Linked DNA regions of Cricetulus griseus. The protein of the gene in region 3 interacts with the protein of the main gene of each other region in a pairwise test. Links are inferred from orthologs where the notes say so. Each region holds a gene or a part of one and is shown on either strand. Other genes may lie near its edges. The genes, in order: Incenp, Suv39h1, Cbx5 and Prr14.

Region 1 (7,809 bases), on a different chromosome or scaffold from region 3:
CAGTTGGCTCTCACCAGCTATCCTGGTGACTCACTCCAGTGCCCCCACATGCACATCTGCCTTCCTAACACTCCCGCTTGCGGTTAGTGCTTCCACGGGGGCTGTCAGCTACACAGTGACATGGATCTAGCCAAGAACTAGTGCAGCTCTGTTAAGGGACAGGAAAAGGCTTTACTTACAACAAAGCTGCACTGTGGAGAGGAAACAGAAAAACACCAAGAGTTAATGCCAAGGGGTGTCCTACAGGGCAGGCTATGCACCTATCTGTGGCAGTGAGTGTGCTCAGGGCTTTTCACCAAACACACTGCTACCTCACCTCACCCAGTCCTCCCTCCCAACAACAAAGGTGTCTTCACCTGCTCCTCCCACCACTGGTCTGTGACATGATGGCCAGTGTTAGGTCTGCTAAGTCAATCCTCCCACTTTCCAGCCTAGAGCTCACCAAGTTTCTGAGTCACAGTCCTGGGTCCATAAGGTCAGCACAGCACCACAGTATTGAAGCAATCCCTGGCTACAGAGGTTTTAACTGGCCCACACTACTTCCAGCAAACTAAGAGTCTTCAACCACACTGTCCCAGCTCCAGCGAAGCACAGCCAGGGGACAGGCTCCCTTACCTTAGGGTCCACACGGAGGGGAGTGTTACGTTTAATGAAGGACTTCATGACACTGCTACGGGAAGCCAAAGTAGGGGTCATGAGCATCTGGTTCTTCTGCACTGTGTGCAAGAAAGTCCGGAGGGGTCGTACCACCTGCAGACCAGGGCCAGGGTCAGCAAAGAGCAGGCAGGGCACACACCAAGCAAGGACAAGAACCTGCTTACCTTGTTGGCTGGACAGGGTGGGGAAGGGGTCTTGTTCTGGGGGGGTTGAAGCTCCTCATCCTCTGGCTGCTCCTCATCCGGTTCACTCATTGCCTGCTTGTAGCTGCGTTTCCTTCTGCCCAGGACAGGACACATCATGAAGAGGACCCAAGAACCCACCTCATAGCCCTATTACATCCTATAAAAATCACCCTTTGCAAACAAGTCTGGCCTCAAGCCACAGAACTCCAGACTGGAAGAGACTGCAGACCAGCCCTTTGCTGCCCAGAAAAATGTCACTGGCCAGTCAAAGGTCACAGAGCCAGAAGGATGAGGAGGGACATGATTACCCATTCCCAAACCAGCATCTACAGCACCATGCTGCTTCCTTTGTTTAGTCAGAGGATCGAGTCATGACACCAACCAAGAAGCAGAATGCCTGGCCACATACCTACCCTCCCTACAAAAGGACCCCAGCTTGGTTCAAACCCCTCTGGAACCCTCAGAACAGAGCTGCCTGCACACCCCTTCCCAGGTGCACACCTGACACTCTGAGGTGCTTTTCTGTGTCCATCTGTTTGGTCAGGCTTGGCTTCTGTGAAGAGAGCAATTTCAGAGAGGTTGTATGGATGATGCCAGTGGAGTATACATGCAACTTTTAGGGAAGGGGTACAGCAGCAACAGTTACAGCAGGAGCAAGGTAACCCAGGGAGCATGGTAACCCTAGGGTGGCCAATGGCAGAAACACCAATCTAAGCAGTAACTAGCCTTGAGCCCAGTATACTGGCCCCCAAGTCAGGTCCTCCAGCCCAAACCCTTGTCAACAGTGACACAAATGACAGGACAATATCACCAATCTACATGCCACTCCCTCTATCACAAAAAGCTATGTGCAGAAACCTTATAACAAGCTGTAAACTCTACCACAATCAAACACACCTCTCTTAGCCTGCAGTTGGTACCTCCATGACAGGAGAAAAAGGTTCCTTTCATGGGGACATCATACAGGGCATAGGACATTCTATTTCACACCAAGAGGAAGTGCCCTTTAACTCCAAAGGGTCTTGTAGCAGTCCTGGGAGCTTTCAGGCTGGCACAACTATCCTTGGCCCCTTCATAAACAGGATGCTTTGCTCAAACCTTACAGCTGCCATTTCTTTACACTAGAGAAATCCACCTCCACAGAGAAACAGGAGCCAGACTCCAAGAGCCTACTAGTAGCCTGGGAAGCCAGGCAGGGCTCCTGACCAACTGCGAAAGCCCACAGTAACCCGGCCCTTTTTCAACTAGAAGCGGGAGCAAGAAGCTAGGTAGGCATTCAGAGCCCAGCCTGTATTTCTTCATGAATCCCTTGGAGTGGGCACCTTCAAACCTTTGCCTCATTCACGCCCTTCCCTCTATGCTTCCTAACCAGCCATCTATAGTTACTCATGGGATAGTCAGCAGCAGCTTTAGCCAGAAGGTCATAACCTCTTCAGGCTTAATTTATCTTTGGCCTACAGACCAGAAAATGGGGCTCTGTATCCCAAGAGACAGGGCCAGGCCAACTCACCTTGCTGCTCTTCAATGGATGCTGCCTGGCCACTGGCCACAGGCTTCAAGGTAGGCGTACTAATCACAATCTTGGTGGCACTGTGGCGCTTTGAGGTACAGCCACTGTTCTTGGAGACCTACAGGAAAAACCAAGGCTTGAAGAAGCCCACATGGATCCTGAGCTCAGGATAGCTGCAGCACATAGCTTCAGACCTGGAGGGCTCGAGTCCTACCCATTTCTGGCCTGTGGTCTTACCTCTGTCTCCTCTGCTGCCTCCTCAGATTCAGCCTCCTCAATGGGCTCCTGCTCCAGACTGAAAGCAAAGCACAGCACTATGAGAACTTTTAGTTAATTTCCTCAAGTTAGGGTCAATGTTAGGTGACCAGACCTGGACCACAAACCAACAGTCTAGGCTGGATAGGAAGACAGCAGCCATTACTAGTGGCTTCCTGAGTAGAGAGTGATGTCAGTTTCTGAATTTTTTTGGTATCATCCTGTCAAGGATCTCATTTGGGATGGGAACCTGATCTGGTCTGGAGCTTCAGTGTCCCCAAAGACTTATGTATTCAAGGCTTTGTTCCCAGAATACAGCTAGTAGGATGCAGTGGAAACTTCAACAGGTGGACCTAGCTGGAGAACTTTGGCTTATTAGGGGTATGCCCAAGAAGGTGAGTATGGAACCACAGCCCCCCTTCTCCTATCAAGTTCCAGCCATGAGGTAGAATAGTTTTGTTCTACCACACTCTTGTCATGATGTACCATTCCTCCAAAGCGGCAGAGCAGACTGGTCACTAATGGAAGGCTCTACAACTGTGAGCTAAGATAAACCATTTTCCTTTGTAAGCTGAATATCTTAGTCATTGTTCCAGTAATACAGTGGCACACAAGTACTTTACCCAGGTCAGTCTTAATCTATGGGGTCCAGAAAAATCCCATCTCTTTTGAAACCTGCTCACTACTGGGGGGTTGGGGAAGCAGCTAAGCCAAAGGTTTTCCCAGACCCCACTTCCTCATCCCAAGCACTGAACCTCTGCCCCAAAGTAAGGAAGGGCTAGTTTAGGATAGCAGAGTAAGACCTCTGAGAAGTCAGTGTCCTGGCCCTAAGTAATGCTAGGTCTAATCCAGACAGGAAGCACCCCTGAATCCCAAATCACCCCACTTTAAATGGTTGTTATGCCTCATTTACAGCCATGGAACTCATGAGCTAGAGCTGACAAGTGATACAGATGGAATGTTGTCTAGAGACCTGACAGTCATGTTGCTTGCTGCCTGGTTACACAGGAACCAGGCTAAGGGAGCATGGCTATCAGGAGTGCTGTGGAGAGTCCAACCTCCACCCCCATGTGCCCTGACCACCCCTGTGGGAGACACTGGCATGGAACTTACCCAACTTTCTGAGGCACTTCGACATTCAGGAGTCTCTCCAGGTAACTGTGACCTGAAGAGAAATTGGGGGAGGGGGGGATGCTATTGGAAACCAGTCAGCAACCAGACCAAGAGATCCAGGAAGTTTTGACAAGGGCATAATCACTACTCCTTTCATAGACACACACAGGCCTCTCTGTGCCCTGATCTCACCCTCATTCATCTTCACACGCCCAATGCAGCTGTTAGCTTTATGCCACTTGTCTAGCAGGCACACCTCCACCTCTTCACTAGGCTAGCAGTAGCTTGGAAAGATGGATGTCTGAGTAACACTGGGCCCCAACATAAGCAGCTTACTCACACAACAAATATTCCAAGTACCTGCTATGTATTGGGTTCTAAGTCGGGTGCTAGAGGCTCAAAGCAATGATAAGGAAAACTAAGGCCACTGCCCGGTCTTCCTACCAGCATCAGGTGATCTTATACAGTAAACTAGGGTACGAGCAGCCATCAAGTCAAGGATGCTGAAGCCTAGATAGGGAGACCTGAAATGAAGCCAAAGGGGAGGAGGAGGAAGAGGAAGATGCTGTTTTTCAAAGTGTGTTCTCCAACTGCTGGAAATACTTGAGACCCTTTTGGATATGCAAAGGTCTTAACTAGTTTCACCACTGTAAAGTGTGACTTTTCCTTCTTACTATATTAACATTAGCCCAAACAGCAACAGAGCCAAGGAGAAAATGCTGAAGCTTAGTACCCATCAAGGCTTCATTCAGCACCAAACCCTATCATCCTATCACACCCAGTAAAACAATGCCCAGTTTCAATGAGGGAAGTCCTTGGAAAAGTATTAATTATACGTACGACGGTTCACACCTTTAATCCCAGCGCTCAGGATGCTGGGACAGAGGGATTGTCACAAGTTCAAAGTCAGCCTGAGCTTTATAGTAAATTCTAAGCCTCGCTGGACTACAGAGTGAGATGGGAAGACACTTAACCAAAACCACAAAGTGAAAGAAGGGGCTTGGGGGCCTAGAAAAAGTCCATCTCCTTCCTGGGTCAGGGAAGAAGGCCAGAACTAAGCAGACAAGGAACCAGGGCTGCCCTGGGCCAAAGAAAAACAAGGAAGAGAAGAAGGTAACAAGCTGGAGCAACAATTGGCAGAGCTCAGAGAGAACTGAGCAGTGACAAGAAGCAGGAGTTTCTCCTTTCTGGGCTATGGGATCCAGGCTAGGGGCCAGGAGGGAGCAGCAACAAAGTAAGACTGGCAGCTAGCTATAGGTGCTACCTTGAGGGGGGTCCATGGCCAGAAGATATGTTCCCCTCCTCTGCCCTTGCCTCTCTCTCTCTCTGGTAACTCCAAGCTCCTTGATTGGAGGAGGGATGAGGTAAAAAAAAAGCCAGAAGACACCCAAGTGAACACCTAACTATTCCATAGCACAAAGACTTCCTGGAATGTTAGGCAGCCCCTGCATGCCAGAACTGGTCTAGTGTCAAGAAAGTGGCCTGGCCTAAAGACTGAAGACTGAGGAGGAGCTACCCTCCAATTAAAAAAATGGCCATGAGGCCTGAAGGATAAAGCTGACTACCTACACAGCTGGACTTTCTAGAAACTGCGAAGCAGTGACCCTTGTCCCTGCCTGCCCACTAATGACAAAAAGCTTCCTCCTGGGGAGTGCACACCAGATCAGGAGGACAAAAGGCTTCAGTCCTCTGTGCTCCACCACTAGAATCCTGAGGCCCCTGAACCATCCTTTACCGCCAGTCCCCTTCTCCTTCCTACTCCCCTGCTGCAGGTGTGTCAAAGCTACCTTAAGGAAAACCCAAAGGACATGCTATCTGAATTGCCCACCCAGCCCCACCTCAGAACCTGGCATCAGAAAAGCATCAGGAAGCCTTTGCCTTGCCTTTTCTCACCCCTCAAGTTTCAGTAACACAGCCCCAGGTTAACTTGTCTAAATGAATTACTGAACATATACCATACCCAAGCACTAAGATGAGTTCTCCAACTCCACTCAAGGCAAATGTTATTACCATTTCTGACAGGCAACTGAGCTTAAAAGAGAAGGTATACCCAAGGTCACCTGGGGGCTGAGTGACTCCACATTCTGGAGTCACTTCCTCTATCTCAAGAAGGAATAGGATTGCTAGGCTTAGGATTAGACAGGCTTGCTCACACATAGCCCAGAAGCCCATCCATGGGCAGGGAAGGCTTAAGGAGAAGAGCAACAGACAATGCTGGTCCACTGTTAGGAAAACCGTCACTAATTTGAAGCAAAAACAGGAAAGGAAAAGACTCGAACCAACAGTGTCAGTCACCACTGCATGTGTAGATTCAGACAAGTCCACCGCCACTGGCCACCTACGAATGTGGTGGAACTGACAGACAAACCACTGACAAGTTTGAAAAGGAGGCTACTGAGATAGGAAGCAGCTCTTTCAAGTACGCCTGGGTCTTGGAGAAACTAGAAGTGGGAGCATGGTATCACTACTGACATCTCCCTGTGGAAATTTTACCAGTAAACATGTGACTATCATTAAAGACCCAGGACACAGAGATCTGATCAAAAACATCAGTGCAGACATATCTCAGGATGGCTGTGCGGTCCTGATTGTTGCTGCCAGTGCTGCTAAATCTCAAGCTGGTATCCCCAAGAATGGGCAGACCTGTGAAGATGCCCTTTTGACTTACATTCTGGGTGTGAAACAGCTGATTGCTGGTACCAACAAAATGGATTCCAACAAGTCACCCTACAGCAAGAAGAACTATGAGGATATTAAGGAAGTCAGTACATCATTAAGAAAGTTGGTTACAACCCTGACAAGGTAGCATTTATATCTTTCTGGTTGGAATGCTAACAACATGCTGGGGCCGGGTGATAATATGCCTTCATTCAAGGAATTAAAAAGTCCCCATAAAGATGGCAGTGTCTTTGGGAACACACAGCTGGAAGCTTTAAATTGTATCCTACCACCAACTAGTCCAACTGACAAGCCTTTGCAACTGCCCCTCCACAATGTCTATAAAAGTGGTGGGTTACAACTAATCACTGAATTGAACTAGAATCCAGTTGCAGAGAAGGATGAAAAGAGCAAAGGGGTCCAGACCAGGCTGGTGAAACCCACAGAAACAGCTGACCTGAACATCAGAGAGCTCTTGGTTCCCAGACTGATAGCGGGGATACCAGCATGGGACTGATTCAGACCCCAGGAACATGGGTTTCAGTGAGGAAACCTCGGAAATCTATGGGACCTCCTGTAGTAGTTCAGTACTTATCCCTAGCATAGATGTGAACTTTGGGAGCCCATTCCACATAGAGGAATACTCCCTGAGCCAAGACACACAGGGGTGGGCCTAGGTACTCCCAAAGGATAGGATAGACTCTGATGACACCCTATGGAAGACCTCACCATCCAGGGGGAGCAGAAAGCATATGTGATAGGTAGGGTTTTAGTTTGGAGATGGGGAGGACTAGGGGAGGAGGGGAAGGAGAGGGAACTGGGATTGTTATGTAAAACAATTTTGTTTCTAATTCAAATAAAAAAATCTGCAAAAAAAAAAAAAGTGGGTTGATATACACTATTCCACTAGAAAAACCGAAATCATGAAATCTGCAGATACACAGATTGAACCAGAAAAGATTGTACTGAGTGAGGTAACCTGGAGTAACTGCAGGAACTAGGAAGGCAAAAAGGGGCTGGTGGGGTGGGGTGGGGGGTGTAGAGAAACGAATAGCAGGGTAAACATGATTTGAACAGGGAGATGGAGGAAAAGAAAACAAAACAGGGGCCTTAATTAAGAGAAAGCTGGGCATGGTGGCACACACCTTTAATCCCAGCACTTAGGAGAAGGACCTCTGAGTTCAAAGACAGCCTCATCTACAGAGCGAGTTCCAGGACCACCAGAGCTACAGAGAAACCCTGCCTCAAAAAAAAAAAAAAAAAAAAAAAAAAAGGAGGGGGTGTATGAGATTCTCCCCAATTCCTCCTACCCTTCTCATAGCTCCAGGCTCATCTAGCCCTGTGGACCCTCCCCTGGACCAATTTCAGGGCTGAAGAAATCTAAGAAGGACCTGTGATACCCACCCCACCCCAAGCCTCCTGACAATCCAA
Region 2 (8,385 bases), on a different chromosome or scaffold from region 3:
ACTCATTGATATAGACAAAGGACCGTGGAGGGCCATCCAGGTCTACCTCATTCTCCACAGTGATGCGTCCCAGGTGGCTGCGCTTGGCATTGAGCTCTTGCTCCCAGCGCTGCAGTGCCCGCCTCTGCTTGGCCTTCTGCACCAGGTAGTTAGCTAAGTTTGGGTCCAGATGCCTGGGTGGCTTTGACCGGCGGTGCCGCCGGAGAAGCTCTCTTTCTAAGTCCTTGTGGAACTGCTTGAGAATGCGCACACACTTGAGATTCTGCCGTGGCTCCCAAGTGTTTTCTGAGTCGGGATATCCACGCCACTTAACCAGGTAGTACTCTTGCTCCTGTTAAGAGGACAGGGACAGAAGGGTACCATAAATTTGAGACCCTTGTGGCAACAGAGAACATTCACCCCACCCCACACTACTCTAGAATGGTTCCATGCAGTGCCTCTGGAGTAAAAATTACTAAATCCAACTTCCACTCACCCTCTTATTATCTGTTGAAATTCCTACTTTTCAACCCCCCAAGACCACTTCCTCCTCTATATTCCAATGATCTGTTCAGGCCCAAAACCCTGTAGTTATTCTTGGTTCCTCTTTTGCTCACACTCCCCAATAAATACACTCAGAATCTGACCCCTTTACTGCATTAAAACATTGCCACTGCAGCCAGTCAGTCCTCTGGTAGGTGCCTCTACTGATCCCCCTGTTTTTACCCTCACTGTTTCAGTTTTCTGCACAGTGCCAGGGGAGGGGGAGCTTTAATTGCTGGGAGTCAGCCATAGGACAGAGTTTAAAATGGCAATCTGTAGCTTCCTGGCTATGTTGCCTTAGGCAAATAAAGCATGCCATGTCTGTTACCTCATCTGTAAAGAAGAAAATATATAAGTGGGAGGAGGATTATATACATAAAATATACACATATCTATAATGCCATCAGTAAACTGAGGCAGAAGGATTCTGCGTTTAGGAACAGTCTTTACAACATAGCAAAACCCTGTCTAAAAATAAAGAAAAAGAGAAAAGGAAAAACAGTTAATATTTTTTTGTAGCACTCGCTATGTAGCAGGTATTTTCCTGAGCAACTGACACACCCTAGAATTCTTACAACTCCAGTCCTCCCCATTTTACAGACAGGGAAAATGAAGACTACATTTCAACTAACCAAGTTGCTTTCAGTGGGCTCTAATACCGCATAACCTTTTCTGGCAGTTAACAGTTACTGTATCATCTTGCATTATCAGAGTTTAAAAAGTTTCTAGTGTGCATACTAAGTATTGTCATCTTTACTTTCACTCCTAGGTTCAGAATCTCAATCTTTGTATCCCGCAAGTACAAGTGGAAAAGACATTCTTTGAGGATTCATTCTGCCTATATTTCTGAGAAAGCTACTTGATTTCCTTGCCTGTAAAATGGAAATAAGACAGTCAATTCATCCCATTTTACCCCAGGTGAAAATCCTCTTTGTAAAGAGATGTGGGGGTTGGGTGGGGAAGAGGGTCCCCTGCCAGGGCAGTCTCACACATCCCCACCAGACTTACACGGATCTTCTTATAATCACACAGGTACTCGACTTCAAAGTCATAAAGATTCTTCTTAGAAACGCCAAGGGCGGGACAAGAAAGCTTGGCCAGTCGGCACAGATCCTGAAGCTGATTCCAGGATGATTTGCAACATACTCTGCAGCCTGGAATGAGAAGGCCTAGGAATCACACAAAATTTAATCAGGCCTTAACCAAAGCTAAGACCCTCTACAACAGGACCATGTCAATTCCTTGAAGCCTAATACCCAGGGAAACTCCTGGAGAGGAGCCTGCCCACAATGCAGTCACCACACCCTTCTTTCCCTGACACCAAAGAGTCCAGTTCTCCTATGAGAGAGGACCCATCCAATCTTCTAATCCAAAGCCTGCCCCCTAACCCTGGAACAGCAAGGCTGTAAATGGATCTTGTGGCATGGACTGCATGTAAAGGGATCTAAACACTCCCAGAACTTAAACTGCCTGCAGACTTGCTTCAAGTTCAAGACCTAATCACCTCTCTATCCACTTTGCAAAAGAAAGACAACAGCTTCCTAGCTCCATAGGGTGCATGCCCTAAAGGTGTGTGGGGGGAGGATGAAAATCCCCAGGGTACCAAACAGAGGTGTTAACTCTGAAGCCTGGTCTTCAATCACTTAGCTGAAACTCCTGTGTATTTCGGAATTTTAAAAAAATGGGGATTTTTAAAAAATGTAATTTTAGACCCGGCGGCGGGGGTGCACGTCTTTAATCCCAGCACTCCGGAGACAGAGACAGGTGGATCTCTGTGAGTTTGAGGCCAGCTTGATCTACAGGGCAAGTTCCAGAACAGGTTCCAAAAGGCTAAAGAAAAACCCTATCTCGAAAAACCAAAAAAAAAAATGTAATTTTTAGACACATTAACAGCAAAGTCTGGGACATCAAGCCATCCATAATCAAACACATTAACAGCACACATATCTACAGCAAAAGCCTGAATTTTCTACGTTAAATATCCTCAGTGAATATCAATCCCACTTTGAAGATCTCCCTTTGTGCCGGTTGGTGGAGCTGCCAGCACTCAGGAGGCAGAGAAAAGCAGCAGATCTGAGTTCCAGGCCAACCTGGTCTATAGAGCAAGTTCCAGGATAGCCAAACCCAAAAAGAGAAAACCTTTGGTGGCACACGCCTTTAATCCCAGCATTTGGGAGGCAGAGATTGGAGGATCTCCGAGTTTGAGACCAGCCTGGTCTACAGAGTTCCAGGACAGCCTCCAAAGCCACAGAAAAACCCTGTCTCAATCCCCCCTCAAAAAAAGAGAGAAAACCTGTCTTGAACAAACAACAAAAAAGATTTCCTTTTGCCATGATTTAAGAAAAACTATTTTTAGGGCTTTTTATATTTTGAAATTATAAAGATTGTGTAAAGGTGTTAAATTAAGCTGGGTGTAGCAGTAAATGCCTTTAGAACCAGCCCTTGGGAGGCAGGGGCAGGCATATCTCAGATCTCTGAGTTCGAGGTCAGCCAAGTCAACACAAAGAGACCCAGTCTCGGAAAAACAAACAAAAAAAGATACAAGCGGGGCGGTGGTGGTGCACGCCTTTAATTCCAGCACTCCGGATGTAGAGGCAGGTGGATCTCTGTGAGTTCGAGATCAGCCTGGTCTACAAGAGTGAGTGCCAGGACAGCGTCCAAAGCCACAGAGTAACCCTGTCTCGGAACCGCGCCCCCCCCCCCAAAGATGGAACATTACTGAGAGCTTCCTTGACTTAGTCTGGGCTATTTTATACACCCAAGGTCTACTTTTCCAGACTGCATTATCATTTGTCTTATCCCATGTTTCCGTGAAAAGTACAACTCAATGCAAAGGGTTCTGCGTTCAATTCAGGAACATGTAAACAGTACATGTGGTAAGTCAGTGACACTATCACGAGGGTCTCTAAAACTGTTCAAGACAAACGGACTTAAAATACATTTTTCCTTCAAAGCACACCCATTATGTGCTTTCAAAGCCGTTTTTTAAAAAATCACATCATGTCACAAAACACCTGATGCTAACTGTATGCTGTCGCTATCCAATGCCGTTTTTTTAAAAATGCTGAATATTTTCTGCCCCGTTATACAACTCAAACCTAAAACAATCCGAATGAAATAAATACTCTAGATTGTTCACCTAAAAACATACAGGCACTTTTCAAAATCATTGCGTGTACACCCATCCTTTAGCCAAGGCCCAGCGAAACTAAGCCTCCTCCTCCGAGGCCTTTGCTTTCCCAAAGCCTTCAACCTGCATTTGAAAACCCTCGGAAGTGGCCCCAAATAAAATTTCCAGCATCTGGCTGCGCACTAAGCACAGCTGCCGTAGCCCTCGGAGCTCCGGCTCACACTTGTGGAATCTATTCTCACAGCTCCACTCACTGCCGAGGAGCCTGCCCAACACACAGTCACCCCTCTTTTCCTGCACATGGAGGAGTCCAGCCCTCCTATTACCGAGGCCCCCATTCTCTCTTCTGAGGAGAATCTTCTCCCCTAAACCTTGCCCCCTCACGCCTATATCCTTCCCACCTAGAGCCGCCGGTTCCCCCATTTTGAGAAGAGGGTCCGTTCCCCTTTTTCCTCCCCTTCCGGCGTCTCCCGTGAAAAGCGAAAGGGTAATGGTCACCAGGAGCCGCTTTTCCCGCGTGTGGTCGCAACCTTCTCCTCAGGACTCTCTCGCGCGCGTGAACGCGCCGGCCGTCAGCGCGCGACCGAGAACCCCTGCGCGCAGCCTGCGCAGCCCCGCGCCCCCCGCGGCCGAAGCACGCGCCCCCTCCCCTCAGCCCCGCCCAGCCCGCGCGCCGGCCCGCGCTCTTCAGCCCCATCTTTTCCGCGCCGGCTCTCTAGCTCCAGGCTTCGTGGCTCCGGACGCCTAGCCCGGAGCCCTGGACACCTTCCCTCCATTCTATTCCACCGGGCCAGTAGCCTGCGCCTCAGCCACCACAGCTTCACCTTTTAAATTTTCCGCCATCTTTCTCCACAGCTAACGACATTCGGGCCTAGCAGGCCTCGCGAGAAGAGAGCGCGCGCGGGCGTGGTCGGGGACGCGCAGCCTATTGGTCGTCGCTCAACGCCCGCAGCCCCCGCGCGGACCAACCGGTGAGCCGTGACCGAACCCCTCCCGTCCCCAGGAGCGGGTCTCCAAGCCTGCTGCTCGCTGCTCTTTCCCAGAGTGCGTCTGGGCAGTAGAAGTGGTTGAAGTTGCTCAAGGCCCTGCCCCGTCCGTCACATTGCTAGCCAATCACATCGCGAGCCATTCATAAAGGGACTGTTTTGTCAGACTCCAATTATGTCCGTCATTATATTTTAACCTCAAGCAGGCATTCACTTCCAGGATGGACCTAGCGCTATATATAGGTGCACAGTCGGTCACCTGATTCAAATAAATAATAAGTCAGTCGCCGCAGTCACACGTCCATTCAGATCCCTTGCCTGTGCATTCGCATTGTGCATTAGTCAATAGTAGCATCCATCTGTGTCCTCCAGCCCTCTGAGTCCACTGAAGTACATCTTATGTGCTGTTATACAGCCTACCATTTCCTCAAACTGTCCCCATCACATTGTCAGCCAGTCAGCCCTTTCCTCCAACTGCAGTCAACATGGCACCAGCTGACATTATCCCTGAAGGAAGCTACAATGTCCACCTATGTCCCGAGGTAGCCTGGGATCAGGTCAGGACAAATCATTGTCAGCTCCCAAAAGCTCTCTGGACAGTCACACTGCCACGTGGTTATGGTGGTTCACTTTGTTACTCCCCATTTACACCGTGATCAGTGGCCACAGCAACTAGGTAGACCCTCACTATAGGGAGGGGTGTGATGAAACCTTGGGGGGGGGTCACCTGTCAGTGGATTCTCTGGTTTAAGGGGAAAACTCCATGTGTGAGAACTGGCTGCTAAAGGCAGAAGATGCTGACAGACCTAAGAAAGAATTGGGCGTGGAGCTGGGGAGATAGATGGCTCAGTAAAGTGTCTGCCATGTAAACAGAAGAGCTTGAATTCAGAGCCTCAGCACCCATGTAAAAAACCAGAGGCAGCACCAAGTGTGTAACAGCAGTATGGGAGGGACAGCAGTCAAAGAAGATGCTCAACATTGACCTTTGCCCTACAAATGTGCATGTACACACACATACAGGCACCAAAAAATGTAATAAATATAAAAATAAAGTGCATGAGCCGGGCGTTGGTGGCACAAGCCTTTAATCCCAGCATTTGGGAGGCAGAGGCAGGCGGATCTGTGAGTTCGAGACCAGCCTGGTCTACAAGAGTTAGTTCCAGGACAGCCTCCAAAGCCACAGAGAAACCCTGTCTCACAAAACCAAAAAAATAAAAAAATAAAAATAAAGTGCATGGGTGGTGGTGGCTTATGCCATTAATTCCAGCACTCGGAAGGCAGAGGCAGGCAGATCTCTATGAGTTCAAGGCCAGTCTGGTCTCCAGAGTTAGTTCCAGGATTTCTAGGGCTGTTATACAGAGAGACCCCTGTCTCTAGAGAAACAAAAAACAAAAAACAAAAATAAAGTGGATAGCAATCAAGGAAGATGCCCAACAAAGACCACTAGCCTACATATTTGTATGCATATGTACGCAGTCCACGGGAACATGTACATTTACCAGAAGAATCAGAAAAATCCAGATTTCACAAAGTGCAATTTATTACAGACTTGCAGACTTAATTGTTTCTCTAGTGTCAGCAAAACAGGAGAAACTATCAGCAGGAGAAAGGATTTTATATGGTACACAAAGTTGAACGTGGCCCATCAGTTATTTTTCTAAACCTATTTCATTAAATATCCATTCAGAACATTTTGTCCATCAGTAGTTAGCATGAAATGTTCATCTGACTTATCTTAATGGCTTTGTTCATCCTATAGGTTTAGAAAGTGCTGAGGTCATATGCCTCACCACCTGAGGTTATGACTAAAATGGCTGTGGTCATGTCAAGCTGGTTTTCTATAATGAATGAATCTACCATTTCTCGTTCCCACTAAGAGTCAATGAGTCAATATCTTCTGATGTGTTGGGTCCTTTAGAGAAACTTGGATTCTATCGGGATGGACAGTCTGCAACTATATACATCCAAGGAGTCGGGGCGCTTCATTGACAGCTCTTAATCGGCTGCCCTGTGACTTATTCATCCTTCTTCTCATCATGTTGTCAGACAACCAGGTAATGAGTCTCACTCAGCATCCCACTAACCAGACTACCTGTGGGTGATCGGTCAGAACCCTCAGTATCATGTGATTCAGCCAAGGTAGACAACCAGCCACCAGAAATAGCTGCCTAGCAGGAAACTACAGACTTCATCAGTCAGCCTGAAATGGCCAAGGTTAGCTCTGTTGTTAGAGCTCCCACATTCATTTCCTCATCCCTGAAAAAGGCCAGTGACTCAAGGACAGACTGGGACCAAAGGAAAATCTTTCTTTGGAAAGTCAGCAAGCAAAAGAAGATAGGAGACCATCATCAACAAACACCATCTTGTTTAGGTTCTACAGATATAAGGCAACCAGGGGATTTAAGGAAATTATCTCTCTAGTTTGAGGAGGGCTGGGATGGTCATAAATTCCACAGTGCTTTTCTGAAAACGTAAGCTGTTGTCTGAAGGACACTGGATGTTCCCGAGTCCGTAAATCTAGAGAAAAGTTACTGATTAGCAAGTTTGCTGACTCGTTTCTTTATGTCAGGAAGTTGCTTAACCTTGAGATTTAAGATACGGAATAAGGCAGGGAGCACAAAGAAACTTTTGCCAGGGGACAAGTTAAGCGATTAAGCAGCTCTATTCAGAGGATTTATCTACAGCAAATCCAGTGGGAGACTAATAAATTGTTTGCCTTCATGACCTCCAAAATTAGGAATTTTATTTGGGGGGTGGGGTAGGTTTGAGACAGGGTTTCTCTGTGTAGCCTTGGCCGTCCTGGAACTCACTCTAGACCAGACTGGCCTCAAACTCATAGAGATCCAAGTGCCCCTGCTTCCCAAGTGCTGGGATTAAAGGCAGAGATTTTTCTTAATTAAATTATTTGAAGTGGGAAGGCCCACTTTTAATCAAGATTTTTTATAGGGTTTTTTTAGACAGGGTTTCACTGTAGTTTTGGAGGCTGTCCTGGATCTAGCTCTTGTAGACCAGACTGGTCTCGAACTCACAGAGATCTGAATGTCTCTGCCTCCTGAGTGCTGGGACTAAAGGCATGTGCCACCACCACCTGGCTTAATCCAGATTTCTTGAGGTGGGAAGATCCACCTTAAATCTGGGACACATCTTCCGCTGACAACCGATACAAATACATGCAAGAAGGAAGCTTCCTCTCTCTACCTGCTTGCCCTCACACTCAGTGGCAAGTCCATTCCTTCACTGGCATTTTTGTTTTCTTTTTTGTTTTTTTTTTGAGACAGGGTTTCTCTGTATTGCTTTGGTGGTTGTCCTGGTACTCACTCTGTAGACCAGGCTGGCCTCAAACTCACAGAGATCCACCTGCCTCTGCCTCCCGAGTGCTGTGATTGAAGGTGTGGGCCACCAACGCCTGGCTCCTTCACTGGCATTAAAGCCTACTTCTTCAAGGTTCCAGCAGATAATGGAGACCAGCTGAGACATCCAGCCTTGAGGACTGAACAGCTACTGGATTCTTGGACATTCTGTTGGTGGACAACCATTGTTGAACTAGCAAGACCACAACCTGCAAGCCATTCTAATAAATCCCATATATTTGTGCGTATGTATGTATGTATATATGTATGTATGTATATTCATTCTATAGTTTCCATTCTTCTAGAGAATCCCGATTAATACAGATTTTGGTACCAGAAATAGTTCTAGAGGAAAAGAAGTATCACGATATTTTTTTAAGTATCTGGAACAGGCTTT
Region 3 (7,809 bases):
CAGAGATCTGTATGAATGTCATCATTTGGATTTAGTTAGTCTGATCTCCTTCTTACACTTAGGGATCTATCTTTACAGGGCTGGAGGTATAACTCAGTGGTGGAGCCTCTGAATTTGACCTTTAGCATAAAAAAAACAAGAAAGAAAAAGCTAAAGAGATGGCTGATCTTACAGAGGACCCAGGTTCAGTGCCTAGCATTGACATGGTGGCTTACAACGGTCTCTTCTAGCTCTAGAGTATCTGACACCCTAGGAGCTAGAGTTGGCTCAGCAGTTAAGATTGCATACTACTGTTTACTCAAAAGGCAGAGGCAGACTGATCTGAATTCAAAGCCAGCCAGGTCTACTGCAAAGGACCCAGGCTCAGTTCCCAATTCCTAGTACCTACATGGCAGCTTACAACTGCCTATAATGTACCAGGAGATCCAATGCCCTTTTCTGGCTTCTGCAGGCACTGTACACACATGGTGAACATACATATATTCAGGCAAAACATACATACACATAAAATGAAACAAAAAAAAATAAATAAATCTTAAAAGTAAAAGGGAAAGAGGGGAAAAAGGAAAAAAGCCAGTCAGGTATTTTGAGTACATGCCTGTAACCCTGTAACTCCAGCTCAGGGGAGGTAGAGACAAGAGAATGAGTTCAATATCCTGGACTATAAACATTAAGGTCAAGGCCAGCTTGAGCTAATTTATACCTGTCAGAAAAGGATGGAGGAAGGATGAGGAAGTACTCCACTTCCTTCTAGAAGTCACTATCTCTGATACAGTTATTTATGCTTTATTCAGCTTAATCCTAGTGCCTTTTGTTGAAATTAATTTCTCTTTTAGGCATCTCTCTGTGATCATGGCCCTCAGTGATGGGAAAAAGCTTCACTCAGTCCTTATCCCATGGTCACTGGCTAACAATGCAAAGAAGTTTGGGGAATGACTACAAATTTATTTTTTCTGACATGCAGGCTACGATGATACAATAATACCAAAACTTGAGAATGTTACAAACCTAATCTGAGCCATAATCTCCACTTAATATTGACACGGGTGTTGGTTAAGAATTAAATTTAGGAATTCTCAGTTTTACACCCTTTCTTCATTGCAAAGGAACACAACTGCAAAGTGAGACCCAACTTCTTTCTCTCACCATTTCATTAAGAACATTAAGTCACCACAGGAATCTGTTGCCCCAATGATCTTTTCTGGTTCCAGTCCTCTCTCAAAGCCTCGAGCGATATCATTGCTCTGCTATAAATAGAACAGGAGAAATTAGAGCTTGTAGAAAGAATAAAAACAAAACAAAAAACAAACAATGGTTTCTCAGAACAAGAAATCATAGCTTTTAACATCACTTGAAATCATTTATCACCAAATCAGAAAAATCCTTAGAACTCAAGAAACATAATACTAGGTCAACCAGCAACAGCAATGTCAAGACATATTTTTGCAAGAAGATGTAGCTGTCTTTCCTAGTATTCCTTGCAAATGATTAAGGAGGGACCCTAGAAGTCTTTAGCATCCCGTGGGTCTCTAGAGAATCATCTGGTTATTCCTAAAACCCTATCCCTTAGGATATCTTCAGTAACTGTAAGCTGACCCCTCTACTCTTGCTCCCGACACCGTACAAGCAAGACCCTTCTCTTAACTTCAGATATGCTTTTTCAACCATAACCTTTCAGATGTGCCCAAGTTAATATTTCACACAGTCATCTACATTGTAAAAAACAGAGGCAAGAATGGGATATAAGACCAATACTCTAAAAAGGGCAAATTTCAAAGATCACAAACACTAGTTTGCATATACTGGGGAGAGGAGCCCCTGGTCTGCTCACCCCCTTGCAACACAGGCACACTATTAGCATTAACTGGACCCGGACTGAGACTTTTAAGCAACTGAACTGATAACTCATGAGAAGAGCACTAGATGGGGCTGAAGAGATGGCCTTTTTTTTTTTTTTGTCCTGGCACTCGCTCTGTAGACCAGGCTGGCCTCTAACTCACAGAGATCCGCCTGCCTCTGCCTCCCAAGTGCTGGGATTAAAGGCATGCACCACCACCACCCAGCTGAGAGATGGCTCTTCTAGAGGACCTAGGTTCAATACCCAGCAACCACATGACAGTTCACAACTGTCTTTAACATCAGTTCTAGGGAATCTGGCACTCTTACACAGACAGACATGCATGCAGGCAAACACCATTGCATATAAAGTAAAAACAAATCTTAAAAAAAAAAAGTTCCGAACTTGTTCTTGTATAATCACGTGATCTACACACAGAGGCTGATTTGGGTGTAATGGCACTGGTCAGAACAACAACAAAAAAATCTAACTTTATACTTAAGATTTCCCAAATGAACCAAATCTCAGATGTGTGATCTTCCTAACATTTCTCTGATCATCTTACTTTCCTTTGAGACACAAAAGCAGGCCAGTGAGGTGACTCATTGGGGAAAGGGGCTTGCAGGCAAGTTTGACAACCTGGTTTTAATCTCTGAGACTCACATGATAGATGGAGAGTACCAACTCCCACCAGTTCCTTGACCTACACTAGTGCATGATGCCCAATACAATGAACAAATACATAAATGAATAAATGAAAATTTTAAAATAGAAACACAAAAGCTTGCACAGTCCTGGTGGTCCCCAAAGATAACAGAACCCACAATAGGAAAGAAATTCCAGCCATGGATCAATGGGAAGATACTGGCTTTTTAAGACACAGACTCTTTAGGGCATTTAAGGGGAATAGGTTCCCAGATGCAAACACAGATGCTCACAGCTGGAATGCTGGCACAGGGACTAAGTCATACATCATCGCTGGCGGCTGGAAACAGTCTGCTACAGAAGGAGGAAAATGGAAAAAGATTGTTCAAGCTGCTAAAAGGAGCCGAGGTAAGGAAAACACTAAAATCATAGGCAGTAATCTTAAATCAGGCATAAAACCGACCAAGAAATTTCTTCTAAAGTGATCTAAAGAAATGTAATCTCTCCCATACCTCGAAAACATACCACTACTACCTATCCTGCCAGCTGTGTACCTGACAGCTTCCAGTATTGCTAAGAATGCCAGACAAACATGATGATGTAAAGGGTGGGTGGAGGTTGTTTTCAAGGTCAGCAGCTCCAGAACCTAGACACGAAGGCCTCTGAAGTAGTAACCAAGGACTCCAAGACAACCTTTAACAGAACAAAGACCCTAAATTGGAGAAATTTACTATCTCTCACAAATACATAGTCAAGTCTTTGGTTGTGTTATTTTGCTATTTCAACTTGACAAAAGCCAGACTGGGAGGGAGGGAGGGACTGGCTTAGTTAGTAAAGGTACATGCTCCAAGCCTAAAGTACATAATTCAATCCCCAAGACCAACCTGGTGAAAGAAGACAACTGACTTTTCCAAGTTGTTCTCTACCCTCCACACATGTGCAACAGCATACATGCTCACACGAATGCAAAATAAGATGTATCAAAATATGTAAATAGCCGGGCGTTGGTGGCCCACGCCTTTAATCCCAGCACTCGGGAGGCAGAGGCAGGCGGATCTCTGTGCGTTCGAGACCAGCCTGGACTACAAGAGCTAATTCCAGGACAGCCTCCAAAGCCACAGAAAAACCCTGTCTCGAAAAACCAAAAAAAAAAAAAAAAGGCAGTCGGGGGCAGTAGTGGCACACACTTTTGATCCCAGCACTCAGGAGGCAGAGGCAGGCGCAGGCGCAGGCGCAGGCGGATCTCTGTGAGTTCGAGAACAGCCTGGTCCTATTTCCTCAGAAAAATGTTTGTTTTTTTTTTTCTTTCTTTCCCAAGACAGGGTTTCTCTGTATTGCTTTGGAGCCACCTGCCTCTGCCTCCCAGTGCTGAGTGCTGGGATTAAAGGCGTGAGCCACCAACACCTGGCTCCTTAAATTCTTAATCAGTATAGTTTATCAAGATATTCAGACTGCTTGAGAGCCTTTATCATATATTACAGAAGTAGTGATACCCAACAGGAACATAGGCCAAGAATGATACACAAATAAAACCCCAATGCCTTAGTCTACCCATAGATACTCTCAAAAGGTTCATCTTGGATACTGGATGGTCTAAGGTGTAGTCAAAGTTAAGAGTAACAATGTAGAAAAATGGGCATCCAAGCATAATGCAGACAAACAGGGAATTGATGTAAGGATATAGGCTATATAAACTATTTTATTAGATTTTAAGTGTATGATATATTCTTCAAACCTTGAAATAAAATGGAAAGAGGCAAAGTTGGAGGGGCAGAGCGTATTTGTGTAACATGCACATAGTAAAGATACAGAAGAAAAAAAAAGGCAATATGGTATTTATGTTAATATCTTCAATCTAAGAATCAGAAAGATAAAAGCAACTGAACCAAAATTCATAATTAATTGCCAAACTAAACAATGAACAGATAGACACAAAAGATGAAAATTAATTTCATCTTTTGTTTGCTTGTTTTGGTTCTCTGTCTGTCTCCCAAGGGTTGGGATTAAAGGCATGAGGCACCACTGCCCAGTTAAGTTTTGTCTTTTTAATAAAGTAATAAATGTTCTTTATTACTCTTGGTGTGTTCAAGTAGACAGGTTCACATGGAGGTCAGAGGCCAACCTTTCAGCAGGTGGTTTTCTCCTTCCACAATACGGGAGGTTGTCAGGCTTGGAATAGGCCCCTCTATTCCTGAGCCACCTCCTTAGCTACTTTTCCTTAAAAAGAAAAAGTTTTAAGAGTCTTCCTATTGGTGCTAGAATTGGTTCAGTGGCTAAGAGAGCTTGCGGCTCTTCTAGAAGACAGAAACTTGATTCCTAATACTTTCCTCTGGCGCGCGCGCACGCACGCACGCACGCACGCACGCACGCGCACACACACACACACACACACACACACACACACACACACGTGTACTTCTATTGGGGGGGGGGGCTTGCGGTAGCAGTATCACATCAATTTTGACACTTTAGTTAACGAGTCTGTGTTACAGGAGCTCTCCCTTGGCCAGAAGGGGTCACTGTAGTCAACCAACATACTTCCTGGAAGCTTTTGTCTGTCCTTAGACAAGAAATAATAACCAAACTCCCCTTTGCATGACAGTAGCAAAAGGATAGTAAGTGGGAGGAGAAGCTTACCTCTCTCTTTTTTTTAGATTTTATATCATCAGCACTATTAGAGAAACTGGATTTCCTCTTGTTTCCTTCTGACTTCTCCCTGGGCTTGTTGTTTTCACCCTCCTTCATCTTCTTATACTTTTTCATAAACTCAGAAATTAGTTCAGGACAATCCAAGTTCTTCTCAGGTTCCCAAGTATTGTGCTCCCTGAACAATAACAATAAAGACAAAAGGGAAAGACTGAGGAATGGCGGTAACACCCTATTTTTATCCATTTACCATCTCTGCAGAACTTAAGACTGACAAGTTCTAGCAAACTACATCCACAGCCTTTTCAGTGTCAATGCTTACTTTAAAGAGAACATATAAGCAAAGGAAAGGAATTCTATAAAGACTTAAGAGAGGCAGGAGAATCTCTGTGAGTTAAAGCCTAGCCTGGTCTACAGAGTGAGTTCCAGGACAGGCTCCAAAGTTACAGAGAAACCCTGTCTCAAAAACAACAACAACAAAACCACCTAGACTTAGCAAGAGGCTTGAAGTATAGTTTTGTGGTAAGGTACTTGCCTAGGACATGTAATGCCGTAAGTTTGACCCCCAGCTCTACAGAGAAAAAAAAAGATCCAACAAATTTGATCTTAGATTTTCACTGAAGCTTAGGAAAAAGTATATTCACACAAAGTCATGTAAAGAATTATTATAGAAAAAAGGGAGGAAGCCGGGCGTTGGTGGTGCACGCCTTAATCCCAGCACCCGGGAGGCAGAGGCAGGCGGATCTCTGTGAGTTCGAGACCAGCCTGGTCTACAAGAGCTAGTTCCAGGATAGGCTCCAAAGCTACAGAGAAACCCTGTCTCGAGAAAAACAAAACAAAACAAAAAAAAAAAAAAAAAAAAAAAAAAAAAAAGAAAAGAAAAAAAGGGGGGAAATAAAGAACTATTAGAGATGCTGGGGTTGGTGGCATACACCTTTAATCCTAGCACCTGGGAGGCTGAGACAGGCAGATTCCTGAGTTCAAGGCCAGCCTGGTCTATAGACTGAGTTCCAGGACAGCGTCTAAAACAATACAGAGAAACCCTGTCTAAAGAAAAAAAAAAAAAAAAAAAAAAGGCTTTCTTTTGTATTTTCTGACATGTCCTCACAAGATACATTTTTAGAGACATGAAATAGATCAGACTGAGGAAATTTTCTGAAATGGGAGTGTGCTAACAGTTTCACAAATCTAGAAATACTGACCAAAAGACAAAAACAGGAGTTCAAGGCCAGGGCTACACAGAGAAAGTCTGTCTCAGAAAAACCAAACAAAAGACCTTGTCTCAAAGACAAAAAACAAACAAACAAACAGACCAAAAAAAAAAAAAAAAAAAAAAAAAACCTGTACAATTTCAGTGGGTAACTTTTTTTTTGGGGGGGGGGGAGAAGCTGTCAGTGGAATGCACTGTGTAGACCAGGTTGGCCTCAAACTCACAGAGCTGCCTGCCTTTGCCTACTGATTGCTGGGACTAAAGGTTTGCACCACCACCACCCTTAGGTGTGAGTGACTCTTAGGGTACATAAACTATATAGTAATAAAACCTTTTAAAAACTCCCAGTTTTGGCTGGGCATTGGGTGCACAGCTTTAATCCCAGTACTCGAGAGGCAGAGGCAGGCGGTCTCTGTCAGTTCGAGGCCAGCCTGATTTACAGAGAGTTCCAGGACTGGCTCTATTACTACTGAGCTGTCTTGAACCCCCACTCCTCCCCCCCAAAAAAACCTCCCAATTTTGGACTGGAGAGATGGCTCATTGGTTAAGAGTGCTTATTCCTCTTACAGAGACCTGAACATCTGTAACTCCAGGTCTAGGGAATCCAATGCCTTCTGCCCTTTACAGACACGTACATAATAGTATTCACAGACCCCACACAGACAGACAGGCAGATACACACAGACAATTAAAAAAAAAAATCCTTAAAAACAACAAAAACAAGCCCAGTCTACAAGTTAGGCATATAGCTCAGTGGTAAGCATGCTTGTTTAGTCATAAGCCAGGCTCCACGGGTTCAATCCCTTGCAGATTTTCCCAAACAAAAAAGCCCAACTTTAAATCCTTAATTGCCAAGAGTGTGACCTTATATATACAATCAGCTGCCTATAAAAAAGGGTAACTTAATAAGTCACATACCTCTAACTTCTATTGTATTAGATGTTATTTGTAAACTCCAGTAAGTAGGAGCTGGAATGTGTTATTCAAATGTGACAGACTCAAGTCTACTGTCACCATATATACACATACAAAATCTGAAATAAGGCCGGGTGTTGCCTTTAATTCCAACACTCAGAGACAAGGGATCTCTGTTGTGAGTTCAAGCCCAGCCTGGTCTACACAGCAAGTTCCATGACAGCCAGAGCTATACAAGAGATACCCTGTCTCAAAAAACAAAACAAAACAACAACAACAAAACTGAAATAATATGAATGCACAAAACAGGAAGCACTATAATGTAGAAAATAAGTTTTTTGGGGGCAAAGGTCTCATGTATGTAACATGAATAATAAAAGACTCAGAGCCAGATATTGGGGTTCAAGCTTCAAGCTGAAGATCAGAGAAGCAAAGCAGGCAGCCACTAGCCTAGTTCTTACCTCTACCTCAGGCTGAAATCCTCAGAGGCAAATGCTCTCAATTGCTGTCTCCTCTTCCTTATATTCCTTTCTCTACCCAGCCATATCACTCCTGT
Region 4 (7,203 bases), on a different chromosome or scaffold from region 3:
GGGGTCGAGGCAAGTCTCCCAGAGGAAGAGGAAGGGCCACCCCTTTAAAAGGGGCGGAAAGCGCGACCTCCCCTTTAAAAGTGTCTTAAGTCCTCCGGCTGAAAGAGGCCACCCCTTTAAAGAGTCCAGAGGCTTTCAAACAGCAGGCCGTCCCTTTTAAGAAATCGCAGTTAAGTTTCTAGTCCTCCGCAAGCTGCCACTTCCCCTTTAAGACGAATTTAAAGAACTTCTGGCGTGGGACAGGAGGTAGGAAAACTCCTCTTGCCCCAGTTCTTCCAACAGGAGTTGTGTTTGTCAGCTTCGGCAGGTTTCCCCTTTAAGGCTGGAGTTGGAGTCGGCCGAGTTCGGTGCCCACCCCTTTAAGGAGATTTAAAGAAGTCTACGCCTCCGGTAGCCTTGAAAGGTGCAAGGGGGCGGAGCCTGTCTTCCAAAGCCCCGGATGTGAGGCAACGGTGACGGATGGAGCTTCTTTCCCTGTCCTCCGACATAAAAGACTCTTCCTCCTTTCCTCCGTCCCTGACTGACTTGTGTCTAGAAGGATCCAGAAAGGCCGCTGGGCAGCGAAGAACTCCACTGTAACCGCCTGTTGTCTTCTTCGGAGTCTTCGGCCTCTCCTTCGCCAGAACTTCCCTGCCCCTCCTCCCTCTTCCTCCTCAGCCAACGCCTCCTTCCTCTCTCCGCCTCCTCCCACTCTCCGCCTCCTCCCCCCTCCCTCCGTGGCTCAGGCGTTTATAGGTTGGTGAGTAGACGTCAATGCGAAGGGCGGAGTCAAAGTCGCGGGAGTGCCGGATGTAACCGCCCTCACATCTTGGATTGGGTCGTCAGATTAGCCCCGCCCTCCCCAAGTCTTGTGACTCGACTGGTCCGAAGTATGTGTTTGGAGCGGCCCCTTAGGCCACCGCCTCTTCCTGCTCTCCGTTCATTGGCCGCCTCCTGACGGCGACGAGGCGAGGCGCCGGGAGGTGGTGCCTGGAGTGGGAGGGCCGCCGGCCTCTGGGAGGCGTTGGGCTGGCAGTCCAAGGTGCGCTTCTCTGACGGGTAGGGTCTTCTGCCTTTCTGCCTGTTGGCATTTCGCGCAGGCGCGTGGCGGCAGCGCCTCCTGTCGGCCTTTGGGCGGATCGCTCTACTGCGGCGCCTCGGCGCACAGAGGCTCGCTGGGCGAGGGTCCGCGGTGGGGTGGAGACCGAGCTTCTGTTTCTGCGGGGTTCGAGGGATGGTCTTCCCTTCCAGCGCTCAATAAAAAACACCTTGCACTCGTGTGCGGAGTACTCTTTCACACTAATTCACTTGGTATTAAGTTCGAGGTAAATATTTGCCATTTGTTCTATTAAGGGCGTCTATATTCCAACAGCCAGGATTCTAGCTCCAGAGTGAGGGCTCTGGCCACAGTCCGAAGCCTTTATGTGACTGATCTGTTTGTGTTTAAATGTTAAATATATCATTATTGTGTGGGGTATGGACATGACGTATATAGGGGACATGCATGCTGAGGCCCGAGGACAACTTTGTGTTGTCTTCTCCCTTTCAGCTTTTTTTGTGGGTGTTGGGGTTCTGGTAACAAGGCTTATGTGCCAAGAATTTTTTATCAGCTAGCTGGTTCATTGGCCCTAGCTGTTACTATAACATGGATATTTTCTCGACAAACTCACTTTGTTTGCTTGTTGATAAATTCCCTAATAGGGCTTGTACCAGCCAAGTATCTATGATAGGTTGTCCTAGGTGGGTGATTACAGCATCTGGGAAGAATTCAAGACCATCTTGATCAAGGCCTTAGTCTATTCCAAAGCCTTTTAATTTCTATGATGTAATTCAGTCTTGTATTGGCATTTTTTGTTTGTTTTTTTCCTTCATAAATATCACCCCATAAAAGAGTTTGAGAGAGGTAGTGTGTACAGGAGTCTAGGTTTGATCCCCTAGCACTGCCAGGGGTTGAGAGTGCAGTTGGAATCTCTAATGGCCACTCTCCGACCCCTTGTCTGCTGCAACCCTTTTTTTCTTCTCTTGTACTGTCCCCTTTTTCTACTCCTTTGGTGACGAACAGAAACATCAGCTAGTATAACTAGTTGATCTCAAACTCTGCTGAAGACAAAGGAATCACAAACATATTGAAAACTTTATAGAAATATAGAGAAAAAAATACAGTTGATCCAGAGATTCTCCCCCTCCCTGAAGGATGTATGAATGAACAGTTGGAGCTCCTAGAGTTGACAGGGGTGTTCCCTATCTATCTCCTCCTCCAGGAGCAAGGCATCTAGTTCCTTCAGCCGTTCTTGCAGCAGAGGTCCCACATCCTGGCTGGGTGCCAAGTTGGGAGTAAGGGTCCTGCTGGCTGCAGTGCGGACCCCTCGTGATGGTCGACGGGATCGAGGCATGCTACTGTCCCGAAATTCTACAGCCCGTCGGAGTTTCCTAGAGCTGGTAAAAATCAGAGTCCCATTGCGCTCCCGTGGTTCCTCAAAGATGGTCTCAAAGGTCCTGGGCCAGGCAGGGAGAAGAGGTGTTTACCAGCATGTTCCATGGTTCAAACAGCCCTCTATTGCCCTCAGACCTTCCAAGTTTCTCACCTTCTAGTTGTGGGTGATTGGTAATTCTTATTGGTATAAATTTCTTCCAAAGTGAACTCCTTCTTGTTCAATCTAAAGCAAAAAGCAGAGGGCACTGAGAAACCTTGAGCAAGGAGGTCCTGAGAAGGTATATGTAAAGTCTGACTGAATTTCAGTTTCTGGGCCATGCAAGAGTTGGAAGTGACATCTGAGGAAGTTCTAAGCACAAGCCACGTCGATGCTAAACTTAATTTTCCAGGCTGGACAACAATCTCTGAGAGGAGACAAGGAGACAAGGTAACTCCTTCAGGGATAGGAGTTATCACCTAATTGGTCAAGGCAGGTTCCCCTGCTCTCTGAGCCTCTCACCTGATTGGTCGAGGCAGCCCCATTGGTGTAAGGTTTGGCTGTAGACGGACAGGAGTCCTCCGTATTCTGAATCTAGAAACTTTTCCCATGGTCTGCAAAAATGGGGCAGAGGGTGAAAGAAAGGCATGGGCTCAGGCCTCAGCTGACTCCTGTCTCTTTGCTCATTACCTTGGTCTCTGGGTCAGAAAACACCTTGTCCTTTGAGGCTTTTAACTCCTTCCCCTTGGTTGAACCCAATCTGCAGAGATGGTCAACAGTCAGGGACAAGGAAATACACAGCAATACACCCGTCTTCTGTCACTGGTTACTGAGCAAAGGAGGCCAGGCTCAGGCTGTGGCCAAGGCTTCCAGAAGGGTTTATTGAGAGCACTACCTGTGTTCTGCTGGTTCGCAGAAGAAGGAAGTGGATGCAGTGGATGAGCAAGATGTAGTGAGAGAAGGTGAGGCTCCCACACCTCCAAGAGGGAAGACCTCTTTCCGGAGACAGGGCCGAGGAGGTGGTGGGGTCCGGGCCATCTCCCCACAACCCACAGTATGTCTCCGGGGCCTGGACTGGCTTGGCTGGGATGGAACAGGAGGCCAGGTACAGCTACCTGGGCCAGGGGGCCCCAGATCAGGGCAGGAGTAGCTTCGGCCCAGAGATAACTTAGAGACAGGTGCTAGGGAATTGTCCTGAGTCCGCCACTGGCGGATAGGGGGCCGGGGGCTGACAGATGCAATTCTCTCAGTAGCCCTGGACTGCTCAGCCTCTGAGATAGCAATCTTCAACTCCAATTTCATGGGAGGTGATGGGGGTGGAGGCTGTGGTGCTTTGTTAGGCGTGAGGAAGATGTCAGCGAAGCTCTCAAGCTTGGATCGGACGGAACGGAAGAGAGGGGCCAAGCCCCAGGGACTGAGACGGGGGCGTAAAAGGCTGGACGGTGTTGGGGTCAATGGGACCTCCAGAACAGGATCTGGGGCTGAGGAAAGGAGAGGGTCACAGGCGGGCATTCCTCACCCCCAGGTGATTTAAGCACCACCTCACAAGCCTCAGTCTCTTCCCCCAAACACTAACTTCTCTCTAGAGGAGTAACTGTGCTCCTAAAGTTCTGTAATTAGGATTGCCTAACACGTCTAAGCCCTGGATTTGATCCCCAGTATTGCAAAGCAAAATAAGACCTTCTCAAGTTCCTGAGCCCCAAATCACATTTTGTACACCCTGATCTGCCCTGGGTCAGGGTGAAGCCCCACCCATAGTTCTGCCCCTGATGTTTCAGGCTCATGTTGGCTCCTGGAGACTTTTGAGTCTCATTCCTTCATTCAAGTCCTTACCTGGTAGTGGGCTCTCTGGAGGGTCAGCAGGCAGAGTGGACGGTTGGAATGGAGGTTCTAGTTCTCTGGGTGTAGGCACTGGCTGATGAACTTTTGTCATAGGCTCAGCTCTGGCGTGAAAGGACAAAGTAAGAGTTGGTGGTGCTTCCAAATCCAGATCCCTCTTTGGCCAGTGCTTCCCCTGGCCCTTAAGGCTTCTGAAGGTACTATAAGGAAGGGTTAGATAAGTAAACCCAATGCCCCCAGCTCTATACATTTGGATGATAATCGGCTTTGATAATCCCTTCTCCTAGCCCTCTCACCTTTGTGCTGGAACAATGAAGTTGGGCCCATCTTCAGCAAAACCCTGGATATAAACAGAGGAGGTGTTTTGAAAAAGCAAGAAGCCATCTTTGGCTGCCCCAGCTCTCCATGTCCTGACTTATTCCCCAGATATCTACTTGGCTGTATAGAAAAGATTTTTTTCTTATACCCTTTATTCAGGTAGTGTCTATCACATAAAATGTTGTCATTGGGGCGGTGGCACAAGCCTTTATCCCAACACTTGAAAGGTAGAGGCAGGCTATAAATTGGGTCAGCGTGGTCTACATAGCAAGATATAGGTCATAGTGAAACCTGTCTCAAAAAGTGGGGGTGGGGTGGTAGTGCACACCTTTAATCCCAGCGCTCAGGAGGCAGAGGCAGGTGGATCTCTCTGAGTTCGAGGCCAGCCTAGTTACAATACAAGTTCCAGGACAGCCAGGGCTGTTATGTAGAAAAACCCCATCTCGAAGAAAAAAAAGGAGGGGGGGCAGGCTAGAGAGATGGCTCAGTGGTTAAGAGGCACTGCTATAGCCGAGCGTTGGTGGCGCACGCCTTTAATTCCAGCACTCGGGAGGCAGAGGCAGGTGGATCTCTGTGAGTTCGAGGCCAGCCTGGTCTCCAGAGTGAGTGCCAGGATAGGCTCCAAAGCTACACAGAGAAACCCTGTCTCAAAAAACCAAAAAACAAAACAAAAAAAACCCAACAACAAAAAAAGAGGCACTGCTATTCTTTCAGAGGACCCACGTTCAATTCCCAGCACCCAACTGCTTCAGGGGATCTAATGCCCTCACACAGACATACACGCAGGCAAAACACCAATCAATGTACATAAAATAAAAATAAATAAGTTATTAAAAAAAATTCTGTTGTCCTACGTTTACAGAAATCCGCCCCAGCCTCATGCTTGCCTTAGCTGGACCCAGACATCTTCACCATACTTTCTTATACCTCAGCTGGTTGTCTGGGGCTGGCAATGTCTTCCAGTACCACCACCAGGGTAGGTTGGGTGGTCTGGTCCATCTTTTGTGAAGGGCTCTCTGCTGGGCCAGGGGCTGTCCTTGATCTCATCTTCAAGGTGGGAGAGGACTGGTGGGTCCGGCTCAAGGGTTCTCGGCACAAATGCAGTGGGTCAGGAGGTCTAGAGAAAGAACAGGAGCATCAGTGGGCTCAGCTGTGTTCTCAGCTTATTTCCTTCCCTGTCACACTCACCTGGCTTGGAAGGACCACTTGACTTGCTGGGGTGGTAACGCAGGTGACTGACTGTAGACAGAGTCCTGATGATTGTTGCGATTCATTGGCCTGGCAGTGTCCTCTTGGTATGCCAGGGGGACCTAAGAGAGGAAGAGTTGTTAAAAGAAAGCCAACCTGGGCTCATGCCTATAATCCCAGCACTTGCAAGGCTAATACAAAAGGATTGAGAGTTCCAGGCCAGCCTGGGCTAAAAAGTGAGACCCTGTCTTAGTAAGACAAACCAACAACAAAGAGCAAAGTAATGGAATGAGGCCAAGTGGACAGGATCTTCTGTGTCTCAGTGTCCCTACTCACAGAGGAGACAGATTTTGGCTAGAATTCACTCAGATTCCTAAAGGAAGTGATTTGGTCTGAATTAGGGGTGAGGTATTATAGTCAGGAGCTACAGGTGTGAAATGTAAGTAATCTAATCTAATCCAGGTTCTGAAGAAATGGAAAAAAGGTGACATTTTCCTCATCTCTGTCATGTAGCCAAAGACACCACCAGCAAACTTCCCAGGGGGCAGGGTAGTCAAAAGAGTTTCTCATACTTAGTAGAATATGGTTCCAGCTCAGTGGAGAGTGCGGGAAGGACAGACATAGGAGTTACCCCAGAACCATGCAGAAGTCTTGCATTAAGGAGACTGCTTTGAACGTTGGTTTAAGAGATCTGGTCTGACTTTAGTACTGAGCCGGGTGGTGGGGTGGGGGGTGTAGGGAAAGGGGAGGGGTCTTTCAATTAAAGGGCTCACCCTGTTTGTAGCCACGACATCTTCCAGGACTACGGCCAGGACGCGCCGAGAGGCCTTTTCCAAGGACGAAGGGGTCCCTAGGGGCTGCAGCCTCGGTCTTTTCGGGCTCTTGGCTTCCCATAGTGCTCGAGTTAGGGGCTGACGGCACAGGCTTGACTGTCTAGAAGGGCTGAAGGGTGAAAGAAGACAGTTGTCTGAGGCGGTTGTTGGCTCTGTACAGCCGCCAGGATCCCGGTGTCCCGGGCTCAAGACAGGCAGGCAGGCGGGGTGCGCTCTCACCTGGAATCCCCAGGCAAGTCCATGGGGAAAGCGATGGTTCCGGGGAGTCCCTGGGGGATCCCAGGCTGCGGCCTGGGGTAAAGGGGGAACAGGGGAGTGGGGAGTGAGGGCCAGCTCCTCTCCGGGGACTCCGCCCTTCATGTTCAGCCTGCGGCTCCCCGTAGGCCACAGGCCCTTCCTCGAAAGGGCGCCCCCAGCTGCCCGTTCGGAGCCGGGTCCTCCCGTGGCAGCCGCCTTGATCACTCGGGCCCTGCCTGGCACCTGCCGAGACTGGATCGCGGAGGTCACAGCTCTCCCACGGATCGAGCCTCCTGGGACTTTTGTCCCTGTAGATACCTCCCTGAGCTTCTCAGGGATCCGCTGGGATCCCGGTCCTGGGAGGCTCCGTTTCCTCTAGATTCCTCTGTGATCCTCGC

What was found.
Region 1: the proteins of Cbx5 (region 3) and Incenp interact in binary tests that used the Homo sapiens proteins (3 or more experiments, as listed by UniProt). The link is inferred for Cricetulus griseus from reciprocal best matches to the Homo sapiens genes CBX5 and INCENP.
Region 2: the proteins of Cbx5 (region 3) and Suv39h1 interact in binary tests that used the Homo sapiens proteins (3 or more experiments, as listed by UniProt). The link is inferred for Cricetulus griseus from reciprocal best matches to the Homo sapiens genes CBX5 and SUV39H1.
Region 4: the proteins of Cbx5 (region 3) and Prr14 interact in binary tests that used the Homo sapiens proteins (3 or more experiments, as listed by UniProt). The two-hybrid records come from large-scale screens. The link is inferred for Cricetulus griseus from reciprocal best matches to the Homo sapiens genes CBX5 and PRR14.

The regions. Positions count from the first base shown.
Region 1 is NC_048596.1:50,572,502-50,580,310, reverse strand, and holds part of Incenp (inner centromere protein), read right to left. Parts: intron 6,761-7,809; exon of another isoform or gene 6,030-6,760; intron 4,955-6,029; exon of another isoform or gene 4,915-4,954; intron 3,773-4,914; coding exon 3,721-3,772; intron 2,648-3,720; coding exon 2,590-2,647; intron 2,471-2,589; coding exon 2,353-2,470; intron 1,396-2,352; coding exon 1,344-1,395; intron 937-1,343; coding exon 822-936; intron 751-821; coding exon 616-750; intron 192-615; coding exon 180-191; intron 1-179. UniProt on the Homo sapiens protein: Component of the chromosomal passenger complex (CPC), a complex that acts as a key regulator of mitosis.
Region 2 is NC_048604.1:114,538,135-114,546,519, forward strand, and holds the start of Suv39h1 (histone-lysine N-methyltransferase SUV39H1), read right to left. Parts: upstream 4,250-8,385; 5' UTR 4,076-4,249; coding exon 4,054-4,075; intron 2,685-4,053; exon of another isoform or gene 1,692-2,684; coding exon 1,531-1,691; intron 1,441-1,530; exon of another isoform or gene 1,292-1,440; intron 332-1,291; coding exon 1-331. UniProt on the Homo sapiens protein: Histone methyltransferase that specifically trimethylates 'Lys-9' of histone H3 using monomethylated H3 'Lys-9' as substrate. Also weakly methylates histone H1 (in vitro).
Region 3 is NC_048595.1:399,578,630-399,586,438, forward strand, and holds part of Cbx5 (chromobox protein homolog 5), read right to left. Parts: intron 5,307-7,809; coding exon 5,120-5,306; intron 1,248-5,119; coding exon 1,147-1,247; intron 1-1,146. UniProt on the Homo sapiens protein: Component of heterochromatin that recognizes and binds histone H3 tails methylated at 'Lys-9' (H3K9me), leading to epigenetic repression. In contrast, it is excluded from chromatin when 'Tyr-41' of histone H3 is phosphorylated (H3Y41ph).
Region 4 is NC_048596.1:73,282,868-73,290,070, forward strand, and holds the end of Prr14 (proline-rich protein 14), read right to left. Parts: coding exon 7,124-7,203; exon of another isoform or gene 7,049-7,123; intron 6,860-7,048; coding exon 6,788-6,859; intron 6,678-6,787; coding exon 6,509-6,677; intron 5,858-6,508; coding exon 5,736-5,857; intron 5,665-5,735; coding exon 5,475-5,664; intron 4,570-5,474; coding exon 4,526-4,569; intron 4,430-4,525; coding exon 4,224-4,429; intron 3,872-4,223; coding exon 3,286-3,871; intron 3,151-3,285; coding exon 3,081-3,150; intron 3,005-3,080; coding exon 2,913-3,004; intron 2,818-2,912; coding exon of another isoform or gene 2,763-2,817; exon of another isoform or gene 2,643-2,762; intron 2,637-2,642; coding exon 2,565-2,636; intron 2,476-2,564; coding exon 2,199-2,475; 3' UTR 2,095-2,198; downstream 1-2,094. UniProt on the Homo sapiens protein: Functions in tethering peripheral heterochromatin to the nuclear lamina during interphase, possibly through the interaction with heterochromatin protein CBX5/HP1 alpha. Might play a role in reattaching heterochromatin to the nuclear lamina at mitotic exit.